Linked DNA regions of Ovis aries. The protein of the gene in region 7 interacts with the protein of the main gene of each other region in a pairwise test. Links are inferred from orthologs where the notes say so. Each region holds a gene or a part of one and is shown on either strand. Other genes may lie near its edges.

Region 1 (4,028 bases), on a different chromosome or scaffold from region 7:
ATGTCTGACTCTGTGTGACCCCAGAGACGGCAGCCCACCAGGCTCCCCCGTCCCTGGGATCTCCAGGCAAGAACACTGGAGTGGGTTGCCATTTCCTTCTCCAATGGATGAAACTGAAAACTGAAAGTGAAGTCGTGCAGTCGTGTCCGACTCTTTGTGATCCCCTGGACTGCAGCCTACCAGGCTCCTCCGTCCATGGGATTTTCAAGCCAAGAGTACTGGAGTGGGGTGCCATTGCCTTCTCCGCCTTCTGATTCTAAACCTGGTGAATTCTCAGACATTCTTCAGGACCCAACTCAAGTGTCACTTCCTTGGGAAGCTGTTCCTGACTCTCCAAGGCAAAATTAACTAATCACTGCCTCCCAAGTATTCCATTCAAAATTCATAACAGGACATGTTATATTTTATTGTAATTATCCACTTACATGCTTTTCTCCCCTATCTCACTAAGCAAATATATCTTGTTAATCTGCAACTCTAAGAGGGCATGGTCATTAAAGTTTATGGTTGCCTAGTCTTCTTGAGAACTTGACTTATGGACATCTGTGGGAAAATCATAGAGAAAAAAAAAAAAGAGACATAATTGTGGGATTTTTCCATCAGGCATTTTGTTGGTTATTCTCTGAATTCATGGAAGACTATTAGATGATATTCTCAGTTGATATGTTTTCCTATGTCTGCTTCTTAAAAACATGATAACATTAAGACTGGGCATAAAGAAATATTCAAACCTAAAATATCCATCCATGTTGACAAATGGCAAAAAATTAAGCCATACAATGAAAAAATTAACATGTGAAAACTTTAGGAATTCTAGAAAATTTATACAGTGCAACCTTAAAGAAATTAGGCTAATAATATAAAGGCTTTTATAAAAAAGTAAATTGGTTTCCCAAACACAAACCATGCCAAATTGTATTCTGTAGACCTTCAATGTCAACATCCCATTGCATCATATCTTCACTTATAGGAAAGGCAGTAATACCCTAAACATCAAGAAAAATTAAAGCAGAAAAAAAGATTAAATATTTATTGCAGTTTGGGAAGTCAGATATTAGGTTACAATGAATTCCAAAAGCTCTAAATTTTCTTTTATTGATAAAAATGTTTGACTTGAGAAGGCGTTATATACTGTCTTATTACACAGAAGATAAGGTAGATTCCAGAAAATACATGCAATAGTAAATTTTAAGTAAATCATTAGTATGAAAATCACAAATGGGACAGGAAGGTCAAGAATGGAATATGTGACTTATGTAATTCTATAGACAATTTAAGATTCAAATTCAAAAAGAAAGGAATAGTTGGAAAGCATGTATTTCCTCATAGCTTTAAAAAAAACCCTACAGATGCTATACTAGGCATGAAGTAAATTTTCATTAAGAAAAACACAACTCTAAAATTATGCTCATATGTAAAAATAAAATTTTCCTACACTTGAGGCATTATTCCAATGGAGGGAAAAGAAAGTATTACTGTGCAAAACAATGAAGACCTAGCACAAACCAAAAATAATAATAAATAAAAATTTTAAAATGAAATTATAAGGGAAAGACACTTATGTGTTATATGTCACAGCAATTGGCAAAAAGTGCACTAGACAGGAAGAAAAAGAACTCAAGACTTAAGAGCAAGGGATTTTGGAGTCAAAAAACCCTGTGATGGAATCCCGAGCCCAAATATTTACTGAAAGCTTTCTGAGGCTTAGGTTTGTGGTAGGTAAAACAAAACACTACCTACTTTACAATATTGTATTGATAATTGAGGGGATTCCCAGGTGGTATCGAGTAAAGAATCCACTTGCCAACGCAGCAGACCTCGGTTTCATCCCTGGGTGGGAAAGACCCCCTGGAGAAGGAAATGGCAACCCTTTCCAGTATTCTTGCCTGGAAAAATCTCATGGACAGAGAAGCCTGGTGGGCTGCAGTGCATGGGGTTGCAAAGAGTCGGACACAACTTAGCCACTGAACATGCAGGCACAATTGATAATTAGTGAATGCAACCCTGCATTCACTAACTAAATAACTAATGGTTATTTACTACCTGATAGACTGTTACATTCAGGGATTAAAGTCCATAAATTACTCAGCACAGTGTGCTCAATACTGTTAACTACTATTATGAAATACTAATAATTATTATGAAACAGATTATTATACTGAAATAGGTTCATTAAACAAGTCTGTAGTGCAAATTAGATTTAACTCAATTATGCTTTGTGGAATAAACACAGATTAAACTGCTTTTAAAAACTCGTACCCCAATGAAACACAACCTCCACGTCTCCAATACTCACCTCATAATTGTTGTTCTTCAACTCTTGGAATTCTCTTTTTAGCAAGATGTAAGCTCTGCTGTACATGATAAGGCAAAAAATCCTCTGATCCTGTCCCCTCACTACTACGGTTCGCTCTGAGGCAAGTGTCTGAGGTTATGGGTCACTCTCCTATACCTAGTTAACTGACATAAATACTTGCTTTCTCCAGCTTCAGAATGCTGTATATATACTCCCAAGAGAGGTGGACCTAAGTTGGGCACGTAGCAGCGACTTTCTTTTCTCCTCTGACTCTTCTAAAGGAGGACTTCAGAAGGAAGACTTGAGCACTTTCTCCACTGCCGTGTGTCCTTGCCGCGCCAGCCCACAGCCCAGCCTGAAGATAAATGTGGATGAAACCCTGAGACCACTCGTGCTGCTTATGCGTGAAGTGGGCGTAAGAAGCGTAAGTTCAGGGTGTTCTTAACCAGTCACCGTCTCCGCTTCACAGGTGTAATTAACTGGGTGCCGGTTGGGCAAGAAGACGCAAATCGGTTGCCAAGCAACAAGACTAAACGGCACTGTAGAGGAGGTGGGCACTTGGCCACTCCTCATCCAATCAGCGTTGTGGGGTGGCCTCTGGAAACCTTCACAGCCAATTGTCCAAAAGGCTCAGTTTGAAAGGCCAATGAGAACCGTTGTTAAGGCCTCCTCTGTCCCAGCGCCCCGTGAGACTACTAAATCCATCCATTTTGTTGGGGTAGGGGGAAAAGTCAGAGGGTCTAGCGTTTAAGTCTAAGTCAGAGAAGACTTCACTAGAAGTCCTCCGAAATCATCTTTTCTTTTTCTTTGAATATTATGCTGGTCTGCTCTTGTTTATAATAACATATGGCACTTGTGGCTCAGCTGGTAAAGAATTCGCCTGCAGTTAGGGAGACCTGGGTTTGATCCCTGGGTTGGGAAGATACCCTGGAGAAGGGAGAGACTACCTACTCCAGTATTCTGGCCTGGAGAATTCAATAGACTGTATAGTCCATGGGGTCACAAAGAGTTGGACACGACTCTGCGACTTTCATATGGCACTTCAGCGGTCATGATATCTTCGCATATATTATTATGTCATCAAATTCTTCAGTTACTCTGGAAGAATGTTATGCAACATGAACTACTTAAAAATTCTCATCTCTTGCTGAGTTGTGCCACTTTCTGTTCCTTCTGTCTAGATATTTACCACGTTCAGATTTACCTTTGCCTACGATTCTTTATGAAATCATACAAGACAACTCCTTTCTTGTGATCCTAGAGGACCCTATATTTACCTCCCTGTTAGCATTTATTGGGCTTCCTCCGTGGCTCAACGATTTAAAAAAAAAATCCACTTGCAATGCAGGGGCTGCAGGAGACATGGGTTTGATTGTTGGGTTCAGATCCCCTGCAGGAGGGCACGGAAATCCACTGGAGTATTCTTGCCTGGAAAATCCCGTGGACAGAGGAGCCTGTTGGGCTACAGTCCATAGCGTCACAGAGTTGGACAAGACTGGAGAGAATTTAGCAGACAGGCATAGCATTTATCAGGCTGTATCACAATTGCCCATTGCTTTCTTTAGCCAGCTGTGAGCCTCTTAAAGGTGCTAATTTGCCCATGTCAACTACAGAAGCTGGCATCTTTTCTCAGAGTACTTTTTCTTACTGTTTACTGATTTTGTGGAAAACAGGACATCAGTTTAATTAGTTCATTCATTTCACAGATATTTATTTCACACTTCTCATGTGC
Region 2 (3,500 bases), about 29 Mb from region 7:
ATGTAAGAATTGAATCGCCAGTCCATGTCTGACGTACGGTGCAGCATGTTTGGGGCTGGTGCATGGGGATGACCCAGAGAGAAGTTGTGGGGAGGGAGGTGGGAGAGGGGGTCATGTTTGGGAACGCAGGTAAGAATTAAAGATTTTAAAATTTAAAAAATAAATAAATAAATAAATTTAAAAAAATTGCTTATATAATCAGGCTCTGTGATTGTGATCAGTCATTCTTTTCTGTGAGGTGATCTATCTCCCTCTCTTAATCAATCAATATGATTGAAATGTTTATGACGTTTTTTATGTTGATGAATTTTTTATGAAATATTTACAAGTGTACTTGAGGTGGAGAAGGCAATGGCAGCCCTCTCCAGCACTCTTGCCTGGCAAATCCCATGGACGGAGGAGCCTGGTGGGCTGCAGTCCATGGGGTCGCTAAGAGTCGGATACAACTGAGTGACCTCAGTTTTACTTTTCACTTTCATGCATTGGAGAAGGAAATGGCAACCCACTCCAGTGTTCCTGCCTGGAGAATCCCAGGGACGAGGAGCCTGGTGGGCTGCCGTCTATGGGGTCACACAGAGTTGGACACGACTGAAGTGACTTAGCAGCAGCAGCCGCAGTACTTGAGGGGCAATTGAAGTATAGTTTGGATTTCATGGGATTTTACTATATTTGTTTATATTTCATGTTCCTTGTGCTTAATTATCTCAGCATATGTACTTTATGATAATTTGAGTTGGTTTAAAATCTTTATTTGTACCTATTGGAATTTCAGAGCTCCTTTTGAAAATAATTTGCTCAAATGTTTATATTATGGTGTAAATTATTTTTCATAGGCCTCAGGATCATTCAGCTCAACAAACAAATGCCAGTGGAACCAGTGCCACCACATCATCAGCTCCTAGTAGTAACTCCACATCTGGTTCTGCCACTAGCAACCCTTTTGGTTTAGGTAAGTATTTTTAGTCATTTTGCATAAGGATAAAAATAAGCAAATTTCCTTTTTCCCAGGATAGTTTTAAGTAAGATGACAGTTAAACATTAAGTCACTTTAGCAATGACAAAAACTTGTCTAGGTTATTTCTATAATTGTAGTTATTAAGGGGATATTTGAAGATGCAGATGTGCATGCTTAGGTTACATTAATATATAATAAGTGATCAGTAAGTGGCACATTTCTTTTTAATAATGAAAGAGATATACTGTATGTGTACCTGATTTGACCACCACATAATTGACTCTGGAAAAGATTAGCTAGTTGTTGATCATAAGCTAACCCCTTGAATAGTTTTCTCCTTTGTAAAATGAAAGGATCAGATTGCATTAGTGATTTTCTAACTGTTCTAAACTCACACAGAAAGGCCTGATGCAAGCCTGGTGGTTAAGGATCTTCTGCATCAGCCAAAACTACTTTTCTTACATTAGTTTTTACACTGAGGTTCTTAGGAAGGTTTAGTTGGGGAATGGAGTGATCTGAAGCTAACAGAAGTTGAACTAGATAGATAAATGGCTTAGTGCTGCTTTTAGTTCCTAAGTTGTATGACAAGTATAATACCTTGAAATGACATTTTATCTCATTATTGACTGAGGGACTTTTGGCAGAAACTAACACCTGTGACCAGCAATTTTTATTTTGGGTAGCCAAAACTTAGTTCTGTTATTTTACTAATACTTTGCAGTTTATTGCATTGAGTAGTTACACCTGACACACCTGTGAAGCCTTTTCTAGCACCGTGAGTTTTATTTTCACTTTCTGTATCAGAACCAGTCACTAAAGTTTTCTTTTTGTTGGTCTAATATTCACATCTTCTGAATCAGAACTGTATTCTAAAGAACTGTCATCATCTGAGACGGTAGCATGTATATCACTTGGACATTCAGAGAAAGTATCTGTGTAAAATTCAGCTATTAATTCTTCACTCAGAATTTCATGATGCGTCGTTAAAAAATTTTACGATAATAAATGTGAGTCTGTAATATACACGAGGTTGGAATAAAAACTTGACAGAGCAAAATGTGAATAATGACATCATAAGTTGTGTAATGAATCCTTATACAGTTTTCATGTATCGAGGCTCATATTTTCTTTCACTTCCAGAAAAGTTTTTTAATAATTTATTGATACCAGTTATGTTGGAAACAACATTTAGGGCATGGCATTGATTCACATTCTCTCTCTCTCTTTTTTAAATGTTTGATTTAAACACATCTTGGGCTAAATTTGAGTTTTAGATGGAAAATTGATTAATAGGAACAATCTAGAAAGATTAGGATGAAATTATTTAGTGTATTATTGAGGTAAGTCTCTTCCCTCAATTTTTTTTTTTTTTTAAATATTATTTATTTGGCTGTGCTGGGTCTTAGATGTGGCATGTTAACTGGTAGTTGGGACATGTGGGATCTAGTTCCCTGACCAGGGAGTGAACCTGGGGCCCCTGCATTGGAAACATGGAGTTTTAACCACTGGACCACTAGGGAAGTCCCTCTTCTCTCATTTTATAGGCAAAGAAATTAAAACCCGCAGAAGCCTTTAGTTAATTTGTCCCTTTGCTGCTTATTTCATTCCCATCCCCTCCTATCTTAGTTACTTTTCTGCATCAGTTACTCAGTTTACCCTGTCTATTTGGCTTTTTTTTTTGCTGTGTGTTTTCCTTAAGGTCTGTCCCATGTTTAAATGAAGAAGGCAGTGGCAGCCCACTCCAGTACTCTTGCCTGGAAAATCCCATGGATGGAGGAGCCTGGTAGGCTGCAGTCCATGGGGTCGCTAAGAGTCAGACACGACTGAGCGACTTCACTTTCACTTTTCACTTTCATGCATTGGAGAAGGAAATGGCAACCCACTCCAGTGTTCTTGCCTGGAGAATCCCAGAGACGGGAGAGCCTGGTGGCCTGCCGTCTATGGGGTCGCACAGAATCGGACATAATTGAAGCGACTTAGCAGCAGTAGCAGTAGCAGCAGCATCTGCAGCATGTTTAAAAGCAACAGAATCCCACTACCACCTTTCTTTTTCTTTCTCAGCTATTTTTGGAAAAGATGTATTCTGTTTTCTGTCTGTATTTCTCTTTCACTTAAGTTTGCTGTGCTCTATTTCTTGCCCCCATCAGTTCCCTTGATAAAGTCACCATTGACCTCTTAGCTTGCCAAATTTAATGGACACCTTTTTAGATTTTTAGATACTTAGATTGAAAGTGTTTTAAAATCTAAATTGCTGTCTTCTAATGCTTATCAGTCTTTCCTTGAAAATTTTTTTCTTTAATTCTTGATATGCTTTTTCCCTGGTTAATTTTCTGACCAGTTTTTTCCTCTCTCATTTGTGGGTCTCTTCTTCCTATTCCTTTAATTAGTATTGTTCCGCCATCTGCCTTCTCTTTTTCTGTTCTTTTATTCTGTTTTCCCCAGTGACAATATCCTAACTGTAAATTGTTGACTCTCGAATCTTTACCTAAACCCACATCAATTCTGAACTCCATGCCTTGTATTCAGCTCTATGATATTACCTGAT
Region 3 (2,757 bases), on a different chromosome or scaffold from region 7:
CCGCTCAGGGCAGTAGGGAGAGTGAGGCAACAGCAGACCAGAGCCTGTCCGAGCCACCCCCCTCAAGTCAGTGCAGTGCCCCCCTGGAGAAACGCCTCCAAGCAGGAACTTCTCCTGGGTTTAGGACATCAGGTGGGCCTCAGAGGCTCGAGCGCCTTTGGCGCGCGGCACGGGGCCGTCGGCTGCCCCTGCTCTGCTTTTACAGCGTTTACTGTGGTGTCACCACCAGCACCTGCTTACGGCAGATGAGACTGGTCTCCATTCACGGCAGTGAAAACAGTGGCAAAAATAAGAAAGCAAGGCCATTACAAGGAGAAAGTATTATATGTCCATGGTGCAGAAATAAGGCCCGTGGGGAGAAGCGTGGCGTTGGGGCGGTCTTTTCCCTCTCTGCCTCCATTTCCTTGCCTCTACCTCTTGGGGGTGTAGCAGGAAGGCTGAAGGAGCGCTCCTCTCAAAGTGACCGGCACAGGCTGAGTGATAACAGCCCAGAGCCAACGCCATACAAGTTGTGCTGAAACACAACTGGGAAACAGGCCCTCCCTCCAAAACAGCACGTGTGTGTCCTGCGGTACATGTCATCATCCAGTAACCAAGGAACAAATGCAATCAGGCCCCAAGTGCCCCTGACATTCGAGCACAAAGAATCTGGGGGACCCCCAGGGGACAAGGAGGGGCAGCAGAAACAACTTACCACTCCATTAGAACTATTAACTCCATTCATATTAATTTTTGTTACAAATCTTACAAAGGGGGGTGCTTCTGGGTATTTAGGTCCACATTCTATTTTAAGGCTGTATATTCGGTTTTCATAAATTGTCTGGAAAAAAAATAGAAGGCATAGCCATGTCAGGCAATTACAAAGAATTAAAAAACTGCACAACTTCTGAAACCCCATTTATTCCCCATGCAGAGCTGGTGTGTCTGCTGCCACCATTCAGAGTCTACTCGCTGTTTGCTAAGTTAGTCGTAATCAGTCCCTGCACCAGCGCCTATGCATCCTGGCTTTGGGGGAATATAAAGAAGCCAGGAAATTTAAGCCAGTGTCACTGAAGTCTTAGGGTGGCATCATTAGGCCCAATCAGATGGACTTGGCTTTTCTGTTCATTTGTCTACACTCTGGAAAATGACGTGTAAGAGGCATCCTTCATTCTGGGAAGTCACACTGATGTCTACTCATGCTGGGATCATCAGCCAAGGCACTAGATACCATCATGTACAGAGTAAAGAACAAGCAACTCTAGAGGACTTTGAACTCAAGCACAAGATCAGGGTGGGCACAGACACAGGGTTGCCTTCCACTCCTCACCACCGGGGCCGCGCTCTGGGAAGGGATCTCAGCCACAGGCACTCCGTCCCTGCTGCCTTTAGGACCACCCGGCATCGAGGAGGTGTGTGGGGGGAGGGGGCCGAGGACGCCAGACCTGCCCAGGAGAAACGGTCCTTCTCCGAGCGCCAACCGAGCCTCCACTAAGAAACACCGAGTCCCGCCTCATGCCCGGGGATGGCTCCCTTGTCACTTCTGCCCGGTGAGCAGTGGAGTGCGCCGCCTTCTCCAGGCGGTTCCTTCTGCCTAAAGTGCTGAACCCCCACTCGGACCACCTCATAGCCTTCGAGACCCAGTTCAAGCAGCATGTTAATCAGAAGGCTGTGCACGGTTTTCTCACGTGAAGCTGCGTTATCATCATCTGCGTATCTGAAGACCACACCAAACCGCGGCTGACACCTCCCGGTCAGACTGGCCCCCTTTGCAGGGAGACCGGCCTCCTCCGGGGCCCTCACCCGCGCCCTGTGCCCTCTGCACCCCGTGCTGCACAAGAAACGGCCGTGTGAACAGTGACATCTAGCGGCCTTTGGGGGGAGCACATTAAGAAGGATGATTAAAAGGCTTGAAAACATTCCGTCTAAAATAGTGGCCTGTCCCTAGCTTAAAAACTGGAACATATATTTTAAGATCCAGAATGCATAATAGTCCCATACCACATCCACTTCACAGGGACCCCAAGCTGTAACAAAAGCTCAACTCAGGATTTCCCCCCACCTGCCTTCTTCCCTGGTAAGCAGGAGCACCATCCGGCAGTTAGAGCAAACTGGCAGCCAGCCATGACTCCCTTTTCCCTCACTCCTCATCCCAGGCATCAGAAGGGATGCACACTCACCCAACCTTCCTCTACTGTGCGCCTCCTCCAGATGACCCCAGGCCTCTGCCTTCTCTCGCGCCCCTAGCACCTGCTCCCCAGACAGCCCTGGAAACTGTGCCTGTGGCCTCACCCCTCCAGTGGCTTCCTGGAGACCCGAGAAAGGGGGGCCCGGTTCCTGGACTGGACCCCATGCGGCCCTGCCCTCCTCTCCGTTGCTTCTCCTTCCTCATCCCGCCCCTCCGGCCTCCTCGTCACACTCTTCAGACACACTGAGTCCTCTCCTTGGGGTGCTCATACCAGCTGCTGCTCTGAGCCTCGCAGCTCAGCTCCCATGCATCTTCCCCTCAGAGTTCTCGGGACCCCTCATTTGAAGACTGACGCCCAGTCACCCGCCAGACACCCCTCACTAATCTCGGAACAAGGCGGGCAGGGGCCTCAACCGAACTGGTACTCATCTGTTTATTGAATGAATGAACATTGCAACTTTTCTGTAAATCTGGAAGTAGTATACAATGAATGTTTGCTTATTTATCTATTTATATTGCAATACAGTTGACAGTATTAGTTCCTGGTATACAACAGTGACTCAGTATTTTTGCAGATGATACTCCATTTA
Region 4 (4,112 bases), on a different chromosome or scaffold from region 7:
ACTAAATGAAGTTTAGGATAGTGATGTGGAGATTTTATAAATTATGTAAAATTAAATTTTTTAGTAGTTTGATAAGTCAACTGCAAAGTCCACAATTCTGTTATCAAATTGATTTCTGAAGAAAAAAAAAAAAAAGATTCCACGCAGAAGAGCAGAGGAATGAGATTCAAATGGTAAGCAAGGGCCGGTGGACAAGGGCCTCATAAGTTGCACTTGAATTTTATCGCATCCGCCCAAGGCAGCTTTAAAAGGGTTTCAAGAAGGAGAAGAATATGATAAGCAGGCTTAAGAAAAATCATTCTAGTGGCCTTTCCCAGGATGGCCGAGGAGGAAGAGCTAGGAGGCAGAAGGCCATTTAGGAGGTGACTCTGAGTCGGGGAGGTCTGTGTTCTAAGGCACAGGCTTTGGAGAAGAAAGGAGGCCGCCACTGACATGGTGTCAGAAGGGGCCAGGGTCACAGCCTGGAGCCATCAACACGGAAGCTCGGTCAGTAAAGAATCAACATCCAAAGAATAAGGATGGCCAGGGAGGAAAACAGGAAAGCAGAGAGTCGTGGGAACATAGGAGAGAGAACAATTCAAGAGGGAAATGGTGAGAGGTTAAGGCCATGAAGAGGTCAAGTGCTATGAGGCCTGCAGTGCCCATGGGTTTGTCATCAGGTAGGCAGGACTCCAGACCTGGCTGGCACAGTGCATCCTCCAACCCGACCTGAGCATTAGGTTTCTGGAGAACTTAATCTGTCAACATGCTTCGGTCCAGGGTCTCGCCCAAGTCTGACCACAAGACGCTCTGGACCGCGTGACTCTGGAGGCTTGAAGTCCAGCCACTTCCTTGGAGCAGAGCCCGCTGGAGTATCAGGAAACCCAAGTCTTAGTCCTATCACTGCCACTGGTACGGGGCCTTGGGCCTCAGTTTCTCCTGGGGTGATAGGATCAGGTGGACTATGCTGTCTGTCCATCTGCACTGCCCAGCGCTCAGGTCCGAAGGGAGTAGCAAAGGCGGCCAGCTCTCCAAACCCTCTGACTCAGGCACTCTCACTGCCTCCACATTGGACTCTGGGTTCCCCTCGCCCAAGTGGCCCATTGTGTGAGCTCTGTTTCACTGGGGACAGAAACTGGGTTGAGAAATGAGAATGTTTACTTTTTCCACCGAGTGGATGCCCAAGTAAACAATGTGATCCCGTAAGTGGATCCCATGCCCTGCCCTCCTCACTGCAGGAGAGTATAAGAAGGTATCCCAGTGGGCACATCACCCATGAGACCACCAGATCCAGAGACAGGGCCAGAGCCTCCCCCACCAGCCTCCTGCCACCATGAAGCTCACCATTGCCTTCGCCCTGGTCACCCTGACTCTCTTCTGCAGACCTGGTAAGTATCCCATCCCAAGCCAGCCTCAGCAACTCTCCCAGCGCTGCCCAGGAAAGGGGGCAGCTGTCCACGTCCTCTGCGCGGCTGCTGGGAGAGCCTGGGAATACTGACTTCCAGCCAGGAAGCCGGGTCTGGCAAACAAGCCCATCTTAGGAATTTACGCAGAGCCCTGAGGCTGTGATGAAACTTGTAAAGGACCCCATCTTCCATATCCAACAACCTCAGAAGTGCAGAGATGGAGAAGATCCCACCTAGACGCAGTGACCAGCAGAACAGGAGTAACTAACAAGCTCCCCAAAGCCCAGGCCTGGACAGACCCCGAGACGCCGAGAGACCTCCAGGTTTGGGGTCAGCACATCACCCTGGCAGCCAAAGGGGCTGGAAGGAGCCTTATGGCTTCTTCAGGCAAGGTCTCCCATTCTGGGCAGAGAGGAATATTCTAGATAGGGTTCTTCCCTTTGGGAAACTGCCAACTCAGAATGGAGATTTCTAAACATTTTTTTGTCCTCTGCAAAAAGGATTAGGAGTCTCTGAAGAGTTGCAGCTGTTATGAAGAGGAGAGTGACGGGGCAGGGGATGTGAATCCCATCTTCCTCGAAGCCCCTGATCTTTTGGGAACTGGGTTACTTAGCTGCTTTTTACTCCCTACCAGTCTCTTCTATTCCTTCTACAATAACAACCAAAAAATGTAAACAAATTCCAACTCCCTCACTTTCAAAGTTCCCTAAGAAAAATAGAGAGAAGTTTTATGACCTTGGGGAGTGGCGGGGGAGTTAGAAAACAGAGAGCAAGAGGCGGCAGGAGCAACCATGGTGCAGAGATGCCTGTTTTAAAGGGGAAGTAACATCATTTGGACTGAAATGTATGTTAATTAGAAGATAGTGCCAGGTACAACCCAGCAAGACAGGGTGAAATACGTAGGTGGTGGGTCTGGGATGTGTTTGTATGTCTGTGTGTGTGCACATATAATAATCCCTGTGCTGAATCCCATTCACATATTATCTCTTTTCATTCTTACAACAACTCTATGAAGTGGGGACATTATCCCCCATTTTTCAGATGAAAAAACTGAGCTACAGAAAGATAAAGTAACTTGCCTGATGACATAGTAAGTTGCAAAGCAGGGATCTAAGTTCTGGAGAGGGTCTGACTTGGAGTGACCCATTTGGGTGGAACCCCGGAGTTCAGGAAAGGGAGTTTGCACACAAGGTGGTGAAGTCAAGGACAGGGATTTAAGACTCAATGGGAAGACAGGGCAAACAGGGAGTGGGGCATGGTGATTCTCCCCATGATCCCGGGAGTGTTGTTGTTTAGACGCTAAGTCCTATCTGACTCTTTGCAACCCCATAGACTGTAGCCCCTGGGCTCCTCTGTCCAGGGGATTTCCCAAGCAAGAATACTAGAGTGGATTGCCATTTCCTTCTCCAGGGGATCTTCCAGACCCAAGGATCAAACCTGCAATTTCCTGCATTGCAGGCAGATTCTTCACCACTAAGCCACCTGGGAAGCCCCATGATCCTGGGGGCAGGGACCTAAAAAGAGAGCACGAGGGGGCGCCCTCAGATGAAGGGAACACGGGAGGGGGGCTGGGGATGGGGCAGAGGCGTGTCTGCGGGTGGAGGAGCCCACAGGCCTGGCGCCCACGGCAGATGTCCCTTCTGAGCCAGGCTCGGGGGCTCGTGCTTGGCGGGTACGAGTGCCTCTTCCTGCCAGAGCCTAACTTTGTCACGTGGACTCCGACCATCACTAACCATCAGTAAGAGGTATGTTTCCGGTGGGAGCCTAAACCCTTTGCGGCCTCTCCCCAGCCCCCACACACCACACCAAAAAAAAAAAAAAAAAAAAAGTCAGATCAGCAGCTTCTATTCTCAGAGCTCCGCCTGGAAAGAGCTGGTAGCACCTTGTCCGTTGCAACCCAGGAAGCACAAGGAAGGCTCAGGCAAGCTACAAAAAGCTGGCCACAACCCAGAAAGCATCCACTTGGCGCCAAAGAGCCAATTGCTTGGAGCATCACCCTCCAGGGTGGGGGTGAGAGGGCCCCTAGCTCTTGTGGACAGGCTCAGCTGTGTGCATCTGGGCCAGGTCCCAGCAGGGAGCTGGCCAGTCTAGACACGGGCCCAGATACAGGGGATCCCTCCTCTCTGTTCTCCAGCATCCACAGAGGTGTGCCCCAGCCTTCTGTATGCCTTGGGAAACCTCCTCATAGGCACGCCTTCCAGCTACGAGGCTGCCCTGGAACCTTTCAGCCCTGACGAAGACATGAAAGAAGCAACAAGACAGCTGAAGGAACTGATAGACACCCTCTCCCCGAAGGCCAAGGACAGCGTGTTACAGCTCATGGTACACGGCTCCCTCCACACCCGCTGCCCGCGTCCTGGGCTGCAGTGTCACCCACTTCGGGGCATGCGTGCATGCTCAGTCCATCAGTCGTGTCCAGCCCTGCAACTCCATGGACTGTAGCCCGCCAGGCTCCTCTGCCCACACAATTTTCCAAGCAAGCATACTGGTGCTGTGCTAGTCGCTCAGTCACGTCCACCTCTTTGTGACCCCATGGGCTGTAACCCACCAGCCTCCTCTGTCCATGGGGATTCTCCAGGCAAGAATACTGGAGTGGGTTGCCATGCCCTCCTCCAGGGGATCTTCCCAACCCAGGGATCGAACCCAGGTCTCCCGCATTGAAGGCAGATTCTTTACCATCTGAGCCACCAGGGAAGCCCCAAGAATACTGGAGTGGGTAGCCTATTC
Region 5 (4,297 bases), on a different chromosome or scaffold from region 7:
TGTGTAAGGGAGCCCAGGCTTCCCGAAACTTCTACACATTTCTTGAGGCCATTCTGGTGCACCCCCTTAGAACTCCAGCTGGTTTTCTACAACTCACCCTGCAGCAGGGGCAAAGATTGATAGAGCTAAGATTCTTGGAAGCAGGGGAAAGAAAGGCCCATGTCTCAGACACCAGCCACTCTTTGGGACATCCAAGGGGCCAGTGAGAAGGCTGGGACTTCCCTGGTGATATAGTGTTTAAAAATCCACCTTGCAATGCAGGGGACCTGGGTTCAATCCCTGGTCTGGGAACCAAGATCCCACATGCCACAAAGTAACTAAGCACCATGTGTTGTAACTAAGACTTGATATAGCCAAAAATAAACAAATAACATTTTAAAAATTTTTTAGAAGGCTGAACTCTAGAAATAATTATAACAGCCATGATAATGTAGTGGCAATAGCATGGACTATTGTTTATCAAACAATTATGAAATATCAAGACTCTTTCAAGCACTTTACATGGATCATTCAACCCAATCTCAATCCCATGAGTGTGGTACTCCCAGGATCTTCACTGTCCAGATGAAGACACTGAGGTTCAGGGAGGTGATGAGCTCAACACAGCTTGAAGTTTGACCTCTGACCCCAGAATCCCAGCTCTTTTCGTTATGACATCTACATCTTTAAAAAATTCTCACCCCTTCAATAAAACTGGACAAAAAAATGATATATGAAAAAATAAAATCTCAACCTTTCCTCCCACTTCCCTTCACCCTAACCAAGGCAGGGGCATGCCTAGGTCCCTAATCCTAACCCATTCATCCTTGGGAGCCCAAAGGTGGGGGTGGAGCTTTGCTCCCCACCTTAGACACCCCTCCAGCAACTATGGTCCCATCACTAGCCTGTTAAAGAAGGAAGGAATAGACTCCCACTAATTCTTTACAGTCTCGCTATTCAAAATGTGGGCCATGGAGCATCACCAGAAGCATCAACATCACCTAGAAACTTGTTATAAACACGGATGAAGGGTCTCACCCTAGATCTGCTGAATCAGAACATCTGAGTGTTTTATTAAGTGTTTTTTTATACCTCCTAGAGACAGAATGACAGCTCTACACGGTCCCGGTTGTAGCCTGCACGGGGGAGTACACAGCGTCTTCTTGCCTTTAGAGCTTGCCTAACGCCCTGACTCCTGATAACCCACCTTCCCGGACTCCACAAATCCTAATTCGGAAACTACAACTCCCACAATGCCCAGAGGGGCGCTTGGTTCTTTTTACACGACTACAACTCCCAAAGTGCTTCGCGAGTCATGCCACCATCATGGTGCCCAGTCTCCCCGGCACCATCAGGACTACAACTCCCACAATGCTCGGCAGCAGAACTACCGTTCCCCAGCGGCTCCAGAACGACTACACGTCCGCTCCAGCTCTGCTGGGTGAGGCCGTTCTCGGGCGGGGCCCGCGGGGTCTGCAGAGCCCTGGGCTCCTTAGTTCTTCCCCAGACAACACAGACATGGCGGCCGAGAAGGACCAGCAGAAGGATGCCGAGGCGGAAGGACTGAGCGCCGCGTGAGCAACCGAGACCCGGGAGTCCTGGTCCCCCGACCCCTCCCCCCTGGGGGGTCCTAGGAATCCCGGCCTCTAGACATAAGAGTTTGGGCCTCTGTTGTCCTCTTCGAGGACTCTGGAGCCTGGACCCTCAGCCCCTTTCTCCCCTGAGATCCAGGAGCCTGGGACCATTATCCACCCCAGAACCCCGGAGTCCGGCCCCCCTCGGTCCTCTTCTTGCTGGAGGGTCCGGACTCCATCCCGGTCGGTCGATCGCTGACGTGACCCCTCACCCATCAGGACCCTGCTGCCGAAACTGATTCCATCTGGCGCGGGCCGCGAGTGGCTGGAGCGGCGCCGTGCGACCATCCGGTCCTGGGGCTCCTTCGTGGACCAGCGGCGCTTCTCGCGGCCCCGCAACCTGGGCGAGCTGTGCCAGCGCCTCGTACGCAACGTGGAGTACTACCAGAGCAACTATGTGTTCGTGTTTCTGGGCCTCATCCTGTACTGTGTGTGAGTGCCTCTTCGGCCCGTCGGCGCCCCGGTCCCCACCCCCTCCAGGCTGCGTGGCCCGCTCTGGCCGACCGCGCCCTCAGCATCCGGCCCCACCTCTCACTGCCCGGGCCCCATTCCCATGGGATGTTCTGCCGGAAGTTTTCACCGAAGGGCCAGGTCCCTAGTTCCCCCATCAACCTGGCCAGGATACAGTGTGACCAAATGTGACCTAGACTTCCCCGGCCCCAAGCGGATCGCCTGCCATCCGCCGATGGGAAGGTCAGGGCCTCCTTGTCGGGCCTAGCCCCGGCTCCCTGACACACGGCTCCCTGCCCCCTTCCAGGGCGACGTCTCCCATGCTGCTGGTGGCCCTGGCTGTCTTCTTTGGCGCCTGTTACATCCTCTATCTGCGCACGTTGCAGTCCAAGTTTGTGCTGTTCGGTGAGAAATCCCTTGCCCAGACTGTTCACATCCTGGTCTCTTGGAACGCAAACCTTTTGACACCAAACCCAAGTCCTTTCGAATCCATGTCTGCCCAAGCCTCTATCTACACTAGATTCCCCCAAACTCGGTCCCTTAAAGTCTCAGACACACCTGATGCTCCCACCCACTCTCAGCGCCCCCAAGTTGCTATCCCCCAAGTCTAGAAGATACTCCAGAACCCACCTCCGTCTGACTCCTTAAACCTCCTTCACTCTCCCTTCTGCCTAACCTCCTGCTAACGTCAGCTGCACGTACCCCCATCGGCCACCAGGTGGCGACTTCCCACTGGCCTATATCCGTGCTCCCCCTTTCCTGCTTCCTGGGGAGGAAGTGGAAATCTTGGGATTTCTGAGAGGGAGGCTGAGCCCTGTGGCTCAGGTGGTCCCAGATTGACACCGGAAACACCACTGAGAAGAAAGACAAGCCTGAGGACTTCCCTGGTGGTTCAGTGGTTAAGACCATGCTTCCAACGCAGGGGGCATGGGTTCCATCCCCCATCAGGGAACTAAGTCACACATTATGTGTGGTGCTGGCAGAAGATTTAAAAATAAAACAGAGGGCTCTGAGTTCCCAACTAGGGGATGCTCAAGGACTTTGGAGTGGGGCTAAGGGGGAATTGGGCTCAGATGAACAGGTAGACCTAAGACAGAATGCTTCAGAAGCCTGCCGGTCACGTAGGTAGGCTGGGTGGAGGGGCGCGCCGGGCTAGCCCAGGGCATGGAGGGAGCGCTTGGAGTATAGACACGACTTGGCTTCAGCCACAGCTGCCACCAGTACCTGCAGATCCAACCTTCCAATCCACCACGAGAAGCCAGACATCTGTACAGCTGCCCCTTGGTGTCCATAGGGGGTTGTTCCAGGAGCCCCATGGCTGGCAACGTCCACCAATGCTCAAGTCCCTTATGAAAAATGATGTAGTACAGCGATCCACGGGTTTCCATCTGTGGATGCAGAGGGCCGGCCTATTGTTATGTGAAATTACCCAGTTTTTCTGGCAGCCACAAACCAAATTCTGATGGAATAATGTGCAGACTCAAAAGACACATCCCCAGGTCAGATTTGGCTCTTGGGCTGCCAGTCGGAGGTTCCAGATCTGCACTAGTGCAGGTTGGAGCAGGAGAACTAGTCAGGAGAAGGAGGCTGGGAGCTTCCTAGCAGAAGTGGGGTTGAAGGGCAGAGGGCAGGGGGCTGAGGAAGGCACTCTGTTCCCACGGTCAGTGGGTAGGGCCAAGGGCTGGAGGGCCTTAGCACAAATTTAGATTAGACCCTGAGACTCCCAGAGCTTGCGAGGTTTGGGGGAGCATCAGGGGTTACTCTGGGAGGAGGCACGAGTCAGAACAGCTGCCCCAATGCCCTCTGCCCTGCAGGCCGGGAGGTGAGCCCCGCCCATCAGTATGCTCTGGCCGGGGGCGTCTCCTTTCCCTTCTTCTGGCTGGCTGGCGCGGGCTCCGCCGTCTTCTGGGTCCTGGGTGAGTACAGGGTCTGGGCAGCAGTGTGGGCAGTGGGGGCCTGGTGAGGCCACCAGGCCCTGAACTGCCCATTTTCCTGCAGGAGCCACTCTCGTAGTCATCGGCTCCCATGCCGCCTTCCACCAGATGGAGGCTGTGGACGGGGAGGAGCTGCAGATGGAACCCGTGTGAGGTGGCTTCGCGAGAGCCCCCAGCCTCTTGAGCTAGCCGCCTCTGTTCACCCCGGTCCCACTCGGCTCTGGCCAAAGGCCCCCTTCCCACGTCAAGACCAGGGAGGGACTCCAGCTTTGGAAATAAAACTGTTACAGTTGTTGAGCA
Region 6 (4,149 bases), on a different chromosome or scaffold from region 7:
CATGACCATCCCCCAGTCCCTGGTCAGCTGCCAGTCTCGCTGTGCCTGCAGGTCCAGCAGCTCATCACACTCAGAAAGAAGTAACACAGATGCTCCCTCCTCCCTTTGAGGTTTCCTGCTCCTTCTCTCTGCTCTCACCACACCCAGTTCTTGTCTGACCCCACCCACCTGTTTAACTGGTTGAAAGAAGGAAGGCAATCTGCGCTTGGCTGACTTTAACGAACTGTAAATAAATAAGACTTTATTTTTTTTGGGGGGGGGGGCCTCTAAAATCACTGCAGACGGTGACTAGAGCCGTGAAATTAAGACACTTGCTCCTTGGAAGAAAAGCTATGACCAACCTAGACAGCATATTAAAAAGCAGAGACATTACTTTGCCAACAAAGGTCCGTCTAGTCAAGACTATGGTTTTTCCAGTAGTTATGTATGGATATGAGAGCTGGACTATAAAGAAAGCTAAGCGCCGAAGAATGGATGCTTTTGAACTGTGGTGTTGGAGAAGACTCTTGAGAGTCCCTGGACTGCAAGGAAATCCAACCAGTCCATTCTAAAGGACATCGGTCCTGAATATTCATTGGAAGGATTGATGTTGAAGCTGAAACTCCAATACTTTGGCCACCTGAGGGAAAGAACTGACTCATTTGAAAAGACCCTGATGCTGGGAAAGATTGAAGGCAGGAGGAGAAGGGGAAGACAGAGGATAAGATGGTTGGATGGCATCACCGACTCAATGGACATGAGTTTGAGTAAACTCCAGGAGTTGGTGATGGACAGGGCTGCAGTCCATGGGGTCTCAAAGAGTCAGACATGACTGAGTGACTGAACAGAACTGAACTGAAATAAGCCCTATTGTCAGTGAGCCACAGAAACTCATAAAGTTCTCTATGTAACAAAAGTTGCTATACTTTCCACCTATACAGTTCACTTTTATTGCTGATTTAAATTATCCCTCTGAGAACACTCCGAGTGGGTGACAGGGTGTGGCTGGCTGCGTTGTTCCTCACTATAATGAAAGTCTGTGTTAGAACCAGCCAGGCAACTGGGTTTTTCTGCCTTACCCAAATACTGTCTAGTACATTGGCAAATTCCAAGGATACGAAGCCATTAGAGAAAGAATCTCCCACTCACCTGCTTGCCTTTACTCAAGAAACCGAGGTTACTCCCTAGCCCATGATCACAGATGCAAACACTCATTGGAGTCCTGCTTCTTGAAACACCCCATGGGCTATACAGTTCTCAAACCAAGAGTCGGGCTGGGCACTGATATGGAGCCAGAATTTGGAACATGAATCAAAGGGGTGGGAAAGCACATGGGGAAATGGTCCAGCCACAGCTGCTGAGGTTCAATTATATCTGAAGGCACAACAAGGTTCTTGGACAATATGGCAATAATCCGCAGTCCCAGAAGTTGACCAGAATCAGTAGTCAGCATCAGTGTGGAGACAGGGGCATTATTGACTCATTATGCTCAATATGAGCACAGTTTGATTCCTATCTTTCAGATCTTACTTGTTTTCACTTTACCAATGAAGACTCAGATTCCAGGAGGCTGTGGAGCTCATTCACTGTATCCTTGGACAGAAATAGGATTCAAACCCAAGTCTGTGTAACATGAAGGCCTGTGTTGATTCACTGCATTGTATTATCTACACAGGTGTCCTTTGGGGGCATTCAGGACACAGGAATGCTGCATGAGTAGCAGGGATCTTTGAGAAATTCGGGTGGACAAACAGAACATTAGCATCCAGGTCTGTTCAGTGCTTAACAGGACTGCAGTCCGTGAGAAAAGAGTGGGGGAAAAAAATCAAAAGAACACAGTGTTACTTCCTGTACGTGGGCTCAGGGCTGGATATGATTCACAGGGGAGGAAGACAGGGGCTCATTTCCAGAATGCAAGTGAACAAGAGACATCTAACTATTAGAATTGGGGTGCCAGATTGGAGCCCAACTTGCAGAGGTAGTTCTCAGGTGGCACTAGTGGTAAGAACCCACCTGCCAATGCAGGAGACGTAAGAGACATGGGTTTGATCCCTGGGTCAGGAAGATCCCCTGAAGAAGGGAATGACAACCCACTCCAGTATTCTTGCCTGGAGAATTCCATGGACAGAGGAGCCTAGTGGGCTGCCATCCATGGGACTGCGGAAGAGTCAGACACAACTGAGCAACTAACACACACACACGAACACACACACACACACACACACACACATTTAACACAGAGGTAGTTAAATGTAGAATATCAGAACACTGTGCAAATCCTAAAATCCCTAGCATGTTCACAGAGAGGGTCATCAGCATATAAAAGCAACAGAATCAACTATTAGAAGTTATAGGCCAAGGTAACAAGGTTGCCAAATACAAGATCAGTTTCTAAAAATCAGATGTTTCCTCTACTTCAGCAGTAAACACCCAGGAAATATAATAGACAATAAGAGACCATTCACAATATCAATAAAATCCTAAAGCATAATATTAAGAATTAACCTAGCAACTTACAAGATCTTTATGGAGAAAATGTTTAAGTTCTATTTAAGGACATAAAAGAAGATTGAATAAATGAAGATATACTATGGATAGGATGACTTTACAGTGTAAAAAAAAATGTCCATTTAATCTTTAAATTCAATGTTATACCAACCAATATTCCAACAGGAACTCAAATTTTAAGAAACTTCAATAAAGTTCAATAAAGAAAACTTCCATAAAGAAAAACCAAATGTTAAATAAATCAATTTTGAAAAACAAGAGCAAAGAGAGAAAACCTACCCTGGCAGATCCTATGTCATTACTACATAGTGATAAAAATAGTATGCTACTTGTACAGGAACAAATAGAACAGCCACACAAAATAGAGCACTCAGCAGACCCTGGGACCTCAATATATGCAAATATGGAACTGCAAATTAATGAGAAAAGTTGCAAATTATTTAGAAGATGGTTTGGGGAAAATGAGAAGAAAAAATAGAGTTGAATGCCCCATGTCTACCATATTCAGAGTGAACTCCAGATTAATTGAAGATCTACATTTGAAAAATAGGTCGGAAGTAGGAGAAATGTGGAAGAAAATCTTTATGTATGTCGGGTAGGGATTTACTTCATAAAACAAGATTGCAAAAGCACAAACCTTCAAACAAAAGACTAGGAGATTTGACTGTATACCCATGGTTTCTCTACAGTGAAGAATACCATGGAAAAAGTTAACAGCTGACAAATTGGAAGAAAATAGATATTCAAAAGCAGCAAGGGACTCATATCTAAAATAGGTAAGTAACTTGCAAATCAATAAAAAGACATCAGAGAACCCAACATAAAAGTAAAAAACGGGTAGGAATAGGCGAATTCACAGAAGGAGAAGTTAGAACGGCAAGCACTCATAGAAGAGACGCTCAGACTCACTAGTAATGAGAGAATGGAAAGATAGATGGTGTGATATTGCTGATAGCCACTGGTTTGCTGGTATATATAGGAGTTGAAGGAGAGTCCTAATTTGCAGTGTTTACTAATTTCCAAGGTACAAATACTCTCATCCCTGATGATTTCAAGCTTCCAGTGTGAAGCCACTGAAAAGTAATTGGGAAGAAATGTGCTCCATCAGTTCTCATGGGTCAGCTCCAACATGTCACTACTTTACCCATTAGCCTGGCAAAATTCAGAAAGATACTCTCCAGTGCTCACAAAGATATGGGGAAATGGGAATCTTCAAGCACTGTTGATGAGAATTTAAACTGCATTCTGTAGAACAATCTGGTAATATTTAGTGAAAAATTATCAGCATTCTTTATGACTCAGCAACCACCTTTGTAGATATGCCTCAGAGAAACCCTTACAAGGGTCCTGTAGGAATCTTGTTCATGTGGTTTCCATGAAGCCAATTTCTCATTTTCTAGGTTATCTTATCCAATCTATGGCTCTAAATACCATCTCTGTTTTCATGATACCAAAACGTCTGCCTCCAGCCCTGAATTTCAGACATGTATTCAACTGCCTACTCAGCTTCTAATCTAGAATATGCTTTAGAGTAATAGACATCTGTTCACTAATAGGCATCTCAAATATAACATGTTCAAAATAGAACCCTTCCCCATAACCTTCCCATATCAGTAAATAGCAACTCTCCTCTGCTGTGGGCTCATAAAATCATCCTTCCTT
Region 7 (3,985 bases):
GGAAGATTAAGTGAACTGTGCATGTGAAGGGTTTGACGGCAGCACAACACTTAGGTTATTGTTTGTGGTTGTTGCTTTCTCATTGTGAAGAGTCACTTTACCTACCCTGGATGTCAAATCCAAGCCCATCCTCCTTCCAACCTCTTCCTATTCCTAAGCCATACTGTATAGTCACCCACAGGAACCTGTGGTGGTAGTAGTAGTGGTTACTTGCTAAGTCGTGTCTGACTCTTGCAACCCCATGGACTGTAGCCTACCAGGCTCCTCTGTCCCTGAGATTTCCCAGGCTAGAATACTGGAGTGGGTTGCCGTTTCCTCTCCAGGGGATTCTCCAGGGGATCCTCCAAATCCAGGGATTGAACCTGTCTCTCCTGCATGGCAGGGGGAGTTTTTACCGCTGAGCTGCCGGGGATTATAGCTGACCCCAAACTATCCAGGGGCTACAGGTCCTCACCAGCCAACAGGCTAGACTGTTTCTCACCTGTGAAGACTCTTCCCTTTTCTGGCTGCCCAAAAACTAGACTTGGGTTTAGGCTCCTGGGAAGCTTCAATCTGCAGGGATAGATTGCAGAGAGTGTTCCTACCTCTACTTCCCCTGTCGGCCTCCCAGCTGAGCAGGAGTAGGAATCCTTCATAAAGGCAATTTGCTCATCAGATAAGCTTATCTCTAGGCTGCACTGTGTCACTGGGAGAAGAGCCCAGAAGCACTATGGTTCTAAGCGCAGCCAGGTTCTGTGCTTGCCCCAGAGTGAATGTGTGAACGTTGTAGTCTTTCCTTGGCCCATTTCTCAGATGGCAAAGCTGAGGTGGAGAGAGGTCTTTCTGAGAGATGCCAAGGCTTGGTTGAGGACCACTCCTGGCAGCTTCGGTTTAGCGAAGGGGTTGACACAGACTGCACTCAGACACACGAGTTCCGGTTTAGCTCCCGACTTTCTGAGTGAACTTGGGCCTCGGTTTCTTCAACCGTACAACGGGGACAGAAAGCTGAAATGCGTGTCCTCAAGACACCTAGCTCCTTGCGGCTGATTAGCTCACCGCTACCTGGTCGTTGGGCCGCGAGCTCGGGTCCGCCCGCCTACAACCCCCAGCATGCCTTGGGGTGGGCGGGGCGCAGTGACGGACAGGCAGCTCTACGAATTGGCGCCCGCAAAAAGGGCTAACGTTGGCGCGTGCGCAGAGGGCGGTGGGCCGGTGGGCTGGCAGCGGCGGACGCGTCGGAGCCGCGGGCGGTCAGGTAGGGGGCGGGATGGAGGGTGGGGGATGCGGGACCGCGGCCGGAGTCGCGGGCGGTGGCCGAGCGGCGCGACGGTGGGCTGTGACGGCGTGCAGCGGTCGGTCCACGCCAGAATGGCAGAGCCTGGGGGACCGGATCTGAGGGGCAGGACCGTGGTGGGTGTATGTGGGGAGGGGCGCCGGGGGTGGGTTGCTAGATGCAGGTTCGGGGCGAACTCGAGGGGGCTGAGGGCCTCGGAGGAGATGCAGCCCAGGAGGGGAGCGAGGGGCTCCGAGATTCGCGGTGCAGCATCTCGGGAGGTATGAGGTAATGTGGGGCCCTGAGGGGAGACGGGTGCAGCATCTGAGAGATGGGAGGGGACCCAAGGGCTCTGGAGGGATCAGGGGTGCAGAATCTCGGCAGTATGAAGGGACTGGGGAGCCTCGATGAGATTCGGGGTGCAGAATCTCAGGTGATTTGAGAGAGTCTGGGGGCAGTAGGCTTTGAGCGGGGTGAGATCTGAGATCAGAGGGAGCAGAGCCCGGGGCTAGTCTAATTGCCGAGGAGGAAGCGTTTTTTCCCCGAGTGGAATCTGAGGAAGATCGACGGGCTGAATTCTTGACGGGATCAGTGAGAAGCAAGATCTCTTAAGCAGGAAGAAGACACTTGCCTGAGGTTTGAAGCGACACATGACATGGGTGGGGAAAAGAGGAAGGAGCAAGGTTTGGGGGTGGGGGTGTGAAGGGGGGCAGGGTCCCTGATGGCACCCAGAGGGTGGGGGCTCAGACTGAGGGAGAGCACAGATCTGAGGTGTGGGATGGGGCGTTTAACTGCGATACAGGGCTGAAGGCTGCAGCGACTTGGAAAGAGATGAAAGGATCTTTGTCTGGGGGATTCTGGTACGCATGAGGGAGGAGTTGGTGGGGGTTGCAATGAAGAGCCCCCAAGGCTGGGATTCTTAGGAGACTTGAGAACAAGATTTAGCAAGGGTGGAACGGTGGGGTGGAGAGGTACTGGTTGGTCTGTAGAATTAAGAGACTGAATAGAGTTACAGATGGGTGTCTTGGATTGCGAAAGGAATTTTCCTGAAGTCTCTGCATAGGAAGCAAAGGGAGTTCTGGGGACCCAAAGACCTAGAAGCAATCTATGGAACTATATGAGTGTGCGAAGTTTTGCAGAGTTCAGGGATTCAGCAAGAAAGTCGTCACTCTTTGCCATCAGGACTCCTGATGGAACCTGAGTTTCCCTGCAAGGGGCAGAATCTCCCTCACCTGTTAACCAGACATCCCTCATCATGTGGCTCAGCCGGTAAAGAATCTACCTGCAGTGTGGGAGGTCTGGGTTCCATCCCTGGGTTTGGAAGATCCCCTGGAGAAGGGAAAGGCTGCCTACTCCAGCACTGTGTCCTGGAGAATTTCATGGACTGTATAGTCGATGGGGTCGCAAAGAGTTGGACATGACTGAGTGACTTTCACTTCACCTCATCATGAAGCAGCCTTGGTGTGACTACTCATTCCACTCTGAACGTGGACCCACTGAAAATGGTTGGCTTCAGAGAAAAAGAGAATGGCCAGTCACAAAGCAGGAGACTACTCAAGGTCATCTGCCCAAGCTCCTCTTGGTGTGTCCCTCCAAGCTGTGGTGACAGAGAGTGTGTGAGAGCTCCAGGGTATGAGTGGAACGTGAGGTCAGGTCTTATCTTCCTTAGCAGTTATATAAGTAGATAGAATGAATTCTACAGAAGGTGCATAACAGTGGCTCTGTGAATGAGGTGTTTGAACTGGGAGACAAGAACAAGGGATAGCAGATGCATTGAGTATTTAGTCCTGTGCCAAGTTCTAAAGAAATGGTTCCTAACTGGCAGTGGTTTTGTCCCCCAGGGGGCATTCGACAATGTCTGGACACATTCTTGGTTGTCACTTTTGGGGTGTGGAGTACTACTGGCCCCTAATAGGTAGACACCAGGAATACTATTAAACATATTACAGTGCACTGAACAGCCTCCACAACAAAAGCAGTATCTGGCCCAAAATGTCAACAGTGCCAAAGCTGAGGCACTCTGCTCTAGAGTCACATATCCTGGATTCAGATCTTGGCTCAATCTCTTCCTGATTGTGTGATCTTGAGTGAGTTACTTAAACTCTTGGCTCTTCATCTGTAAAACAGGTTTAGTAACAGGACCTATGTCATAGATTACTGTGATGGTAATCTATAATGAAGTAAATTAGAATGCTTAGTGTCTGGTGCATAGTAAGTGCACACTGATTTAGTAGTTTTTAACTTTCATATCTGCTTTCTTTACTCAATTTTCATAACGGCCCTACTAAGCAAGCTACAGTATTCAGTTTTACATGTAAGTAAACTAAGGCTAAGGCAGTGACTTGTCTAAGGTTCCATAGCTAGAGAGGGCAAAAGTAGGCTCATATTCAGATCTCTGTAACCTGGTATATTCTCTCTTTCCTTGCTTTTTCTTTGCTGGGACCTGCTCACTCTTTCATGAAAGGACTGCCCAGTCTGTATCACTATCAAATTGAACTCTAAAGGGAGTAAGTCCATCTGACTAGGTAGGGAGTAGCCCTGGACTTTGTTCTTGATTTGCTCTTAGACCAGGACCCATGGGTACATAAGGGGAGGAGCTTATCGTTGGCAGACAGGATGAGGTGCAAGAAACTAGAGGATGAGGTACAGAGGCCATTGGCTAGAAAAATCACTTCATAGCAGGGGCCGCCGAGGCTGATGGCACCCCTACTTTGGAAAGTAACTCCTGTTCTG

Evidence for each region.
Region 1: the proteins of TRIM32 (region 7) and UBE2U interact in binary tests that used the Homo sapiens proteins (3 or more experiments, as listed by UniProt). The link is inferred for Ovis aries from reciprocal best matches to the Homo sapiens genes TRIM32 and UBE2U.
Region 2: the proteins of TRIM32 (region 7) and UBQLN1 interact in binary tests that used the Homo sapiens proteins (3 or more experiments, as listed by UniProt). The two-hybrid records come from large-scale screens. The link is inferred for Ovis aries from reciprocal best matches to the Homo sapiens genes TRIM32 and UBQLN1.
Region 3: the proteins of TRIM32 (region 7) and UBE2V1 interact in binary tests that used the Homo sapiens proteins (3 or more experiments, as listed by UniProt). The link is inferred for Ovis aries from reciprocal best matches to the Homo sapiens genes TRIM32 and UBE2V1.
Region 4: the proteins of TRIM32 (region 7) and SCGB1A1 interact in binary tests that used the Homo sapiens proteins (3 or more experiments, as listed by UniProt). The two-hybrid records come from large-scale screens. The link is inferred for Ovis aries from reciprocal best matches to the Homo sapiens genes TRIM32 and SCGB1A1.
Region 5: the proteins of TRIM32 (region 7) and RABAC1 interact in binary tests that used the Homo sapiens proteins (3 or more experiments, as listed by UniProt). The two-hybrid records come from large-scale screens. The link is inferred for Ovis aries from reciprocal best matches to the Homo sapiens genes TRIM32 and RABAC1.
Region 6: the proteins of TRIM32 (region 7) and CLIP4 interact in binary tests that used the Homo sapiens proteins (3 or more experiments, as listed by UniProt). The two-hybrid records come from large-scale screens. The link is inferred for Ovis aries from reciprocal best matches to the Homo sapiens genes TRIM32 and CLIP4.

What each region holds. Positions count from the first base shown.
Region 1 is NC_056054.1:39,651,016-39,655,043, reverse strand, and holds the start of UBE2U (ubiquitin-conjugating enzyme E2 U), read right to left. Parts: upstream 2,801-4,028; 5' UTR 2,363-2,800; coding exon 2,297-2,362; intron 987-2,296; coding exon 905-986; intron 544-904; exon of another isoform or gene 426-543; intron 1-425. UniProt on the Homo sapiens protein: Catalyzes the covalent attachment of ubiquitin to other proteins.
Region 2 is NC_056055.1:36,082,837-36,086,336, forward strand, and holds part of UBQLN1 (ubiquilin-1), read left to right. Parts: intron 1-833; coding exon 834-949; intron 950-3,500. UniProt on the Homo sapiens protein: Plays an important role in the regulation of different protein degradation mechanisms and pathways including ubiquitin-proteasome system (UPS), autophagy and endoplasmic reticulum-associated protein degradation (ERAD) pathway.
Region 3 is NC_056066.1:78,133,583-78,136,339, forward strand, and holds part of UBE2V1 (ubiquitin-conjugating enzyme E2 variant 1), read right to left. Parts: intron 821-2,757; coding exon 695-820; intron 1-694. UniProt on the Homo sapiens protein: Has no ubiquitin ligase activity on its own. The UBE2V1-UBE2N heterodimer catalyzes the synthesis of non-canonical poly-ubiquitin chains that are linked through Lys-63.
Region 4 is NC_056074.1:37,334,579-37,338,690, forward strand, and holds the start of SCGB1A1 (uteroglobin precursor), read left to right. Parts: upstream 1-1,312; coding exon 1,313-1,367; intron 1,368-3,519; coding exon 3,520-3,707; intron 3,708-4,112. UniProt on the Homo sapiens protein: Binds phosphatidylcholine, phosphatidylinositol, polychlorinated biphenyls (PCB) and weakly progesterone, potent inhibitor of phospholipase A2.
Region 5 is NC_056067.1:50,855,514-50,859,810, forward strand, and holds RABAC1 (prenylated Rab acceptor protein 1), read left to right. Parts: upstream 1-1,497; coding exon 1,498-1,553; intron 1,554-1,832; coding exon 1,833-2,045; intron 2,046-2,370; coding exon 2,371-2,468; intron 2,469-3,877; coding exon 3,878-3,979; intron 3,980-4,061; coding exon 4,062-4,150; downstream 4,151-4,297. UniProt on the Homo sapiens protein: General Rab protein regulator required for vesicle formation from the Golgi complex. May control vesicle docking and fusion by mediating the action of Rab GTPases to the SNARE complexes.
Region 6 is NC_056056.1:35,951,485-35,955,633, reverse strand, and holds the start of CLIP4 (CAP-Gly domain-containing linker protein 4), read right to left. Parts: upstream 2,801-4,149; 5' UTR 2,767-2,800; intron 83-2,766; exon of another isoform or gene 1-82.
Region 7 is NC_056055.1:7,072,622-7,076,606, reverse strand, and holds the start of TRIM32 (E3 ubiquitin-protein ligase TRIM32), read left to right. Parts: upstream 1-1,185; 5' UTR 1,186-1,234; exon of another isoform or gene 1,235-1,389; intron 1,390-1,428; exon of another isoform or gene 1,429-1,540; intron 1,541-1,551; exon of another isoform or gene 1,552-3,566; intron 3,567-3,985. UniProt on the Homo sapiens protein: E3 ubiquitin ligase that plays a role in various biological processes including neural stem cell differentiation, innate immunity, inflammatory resonse and autophagy.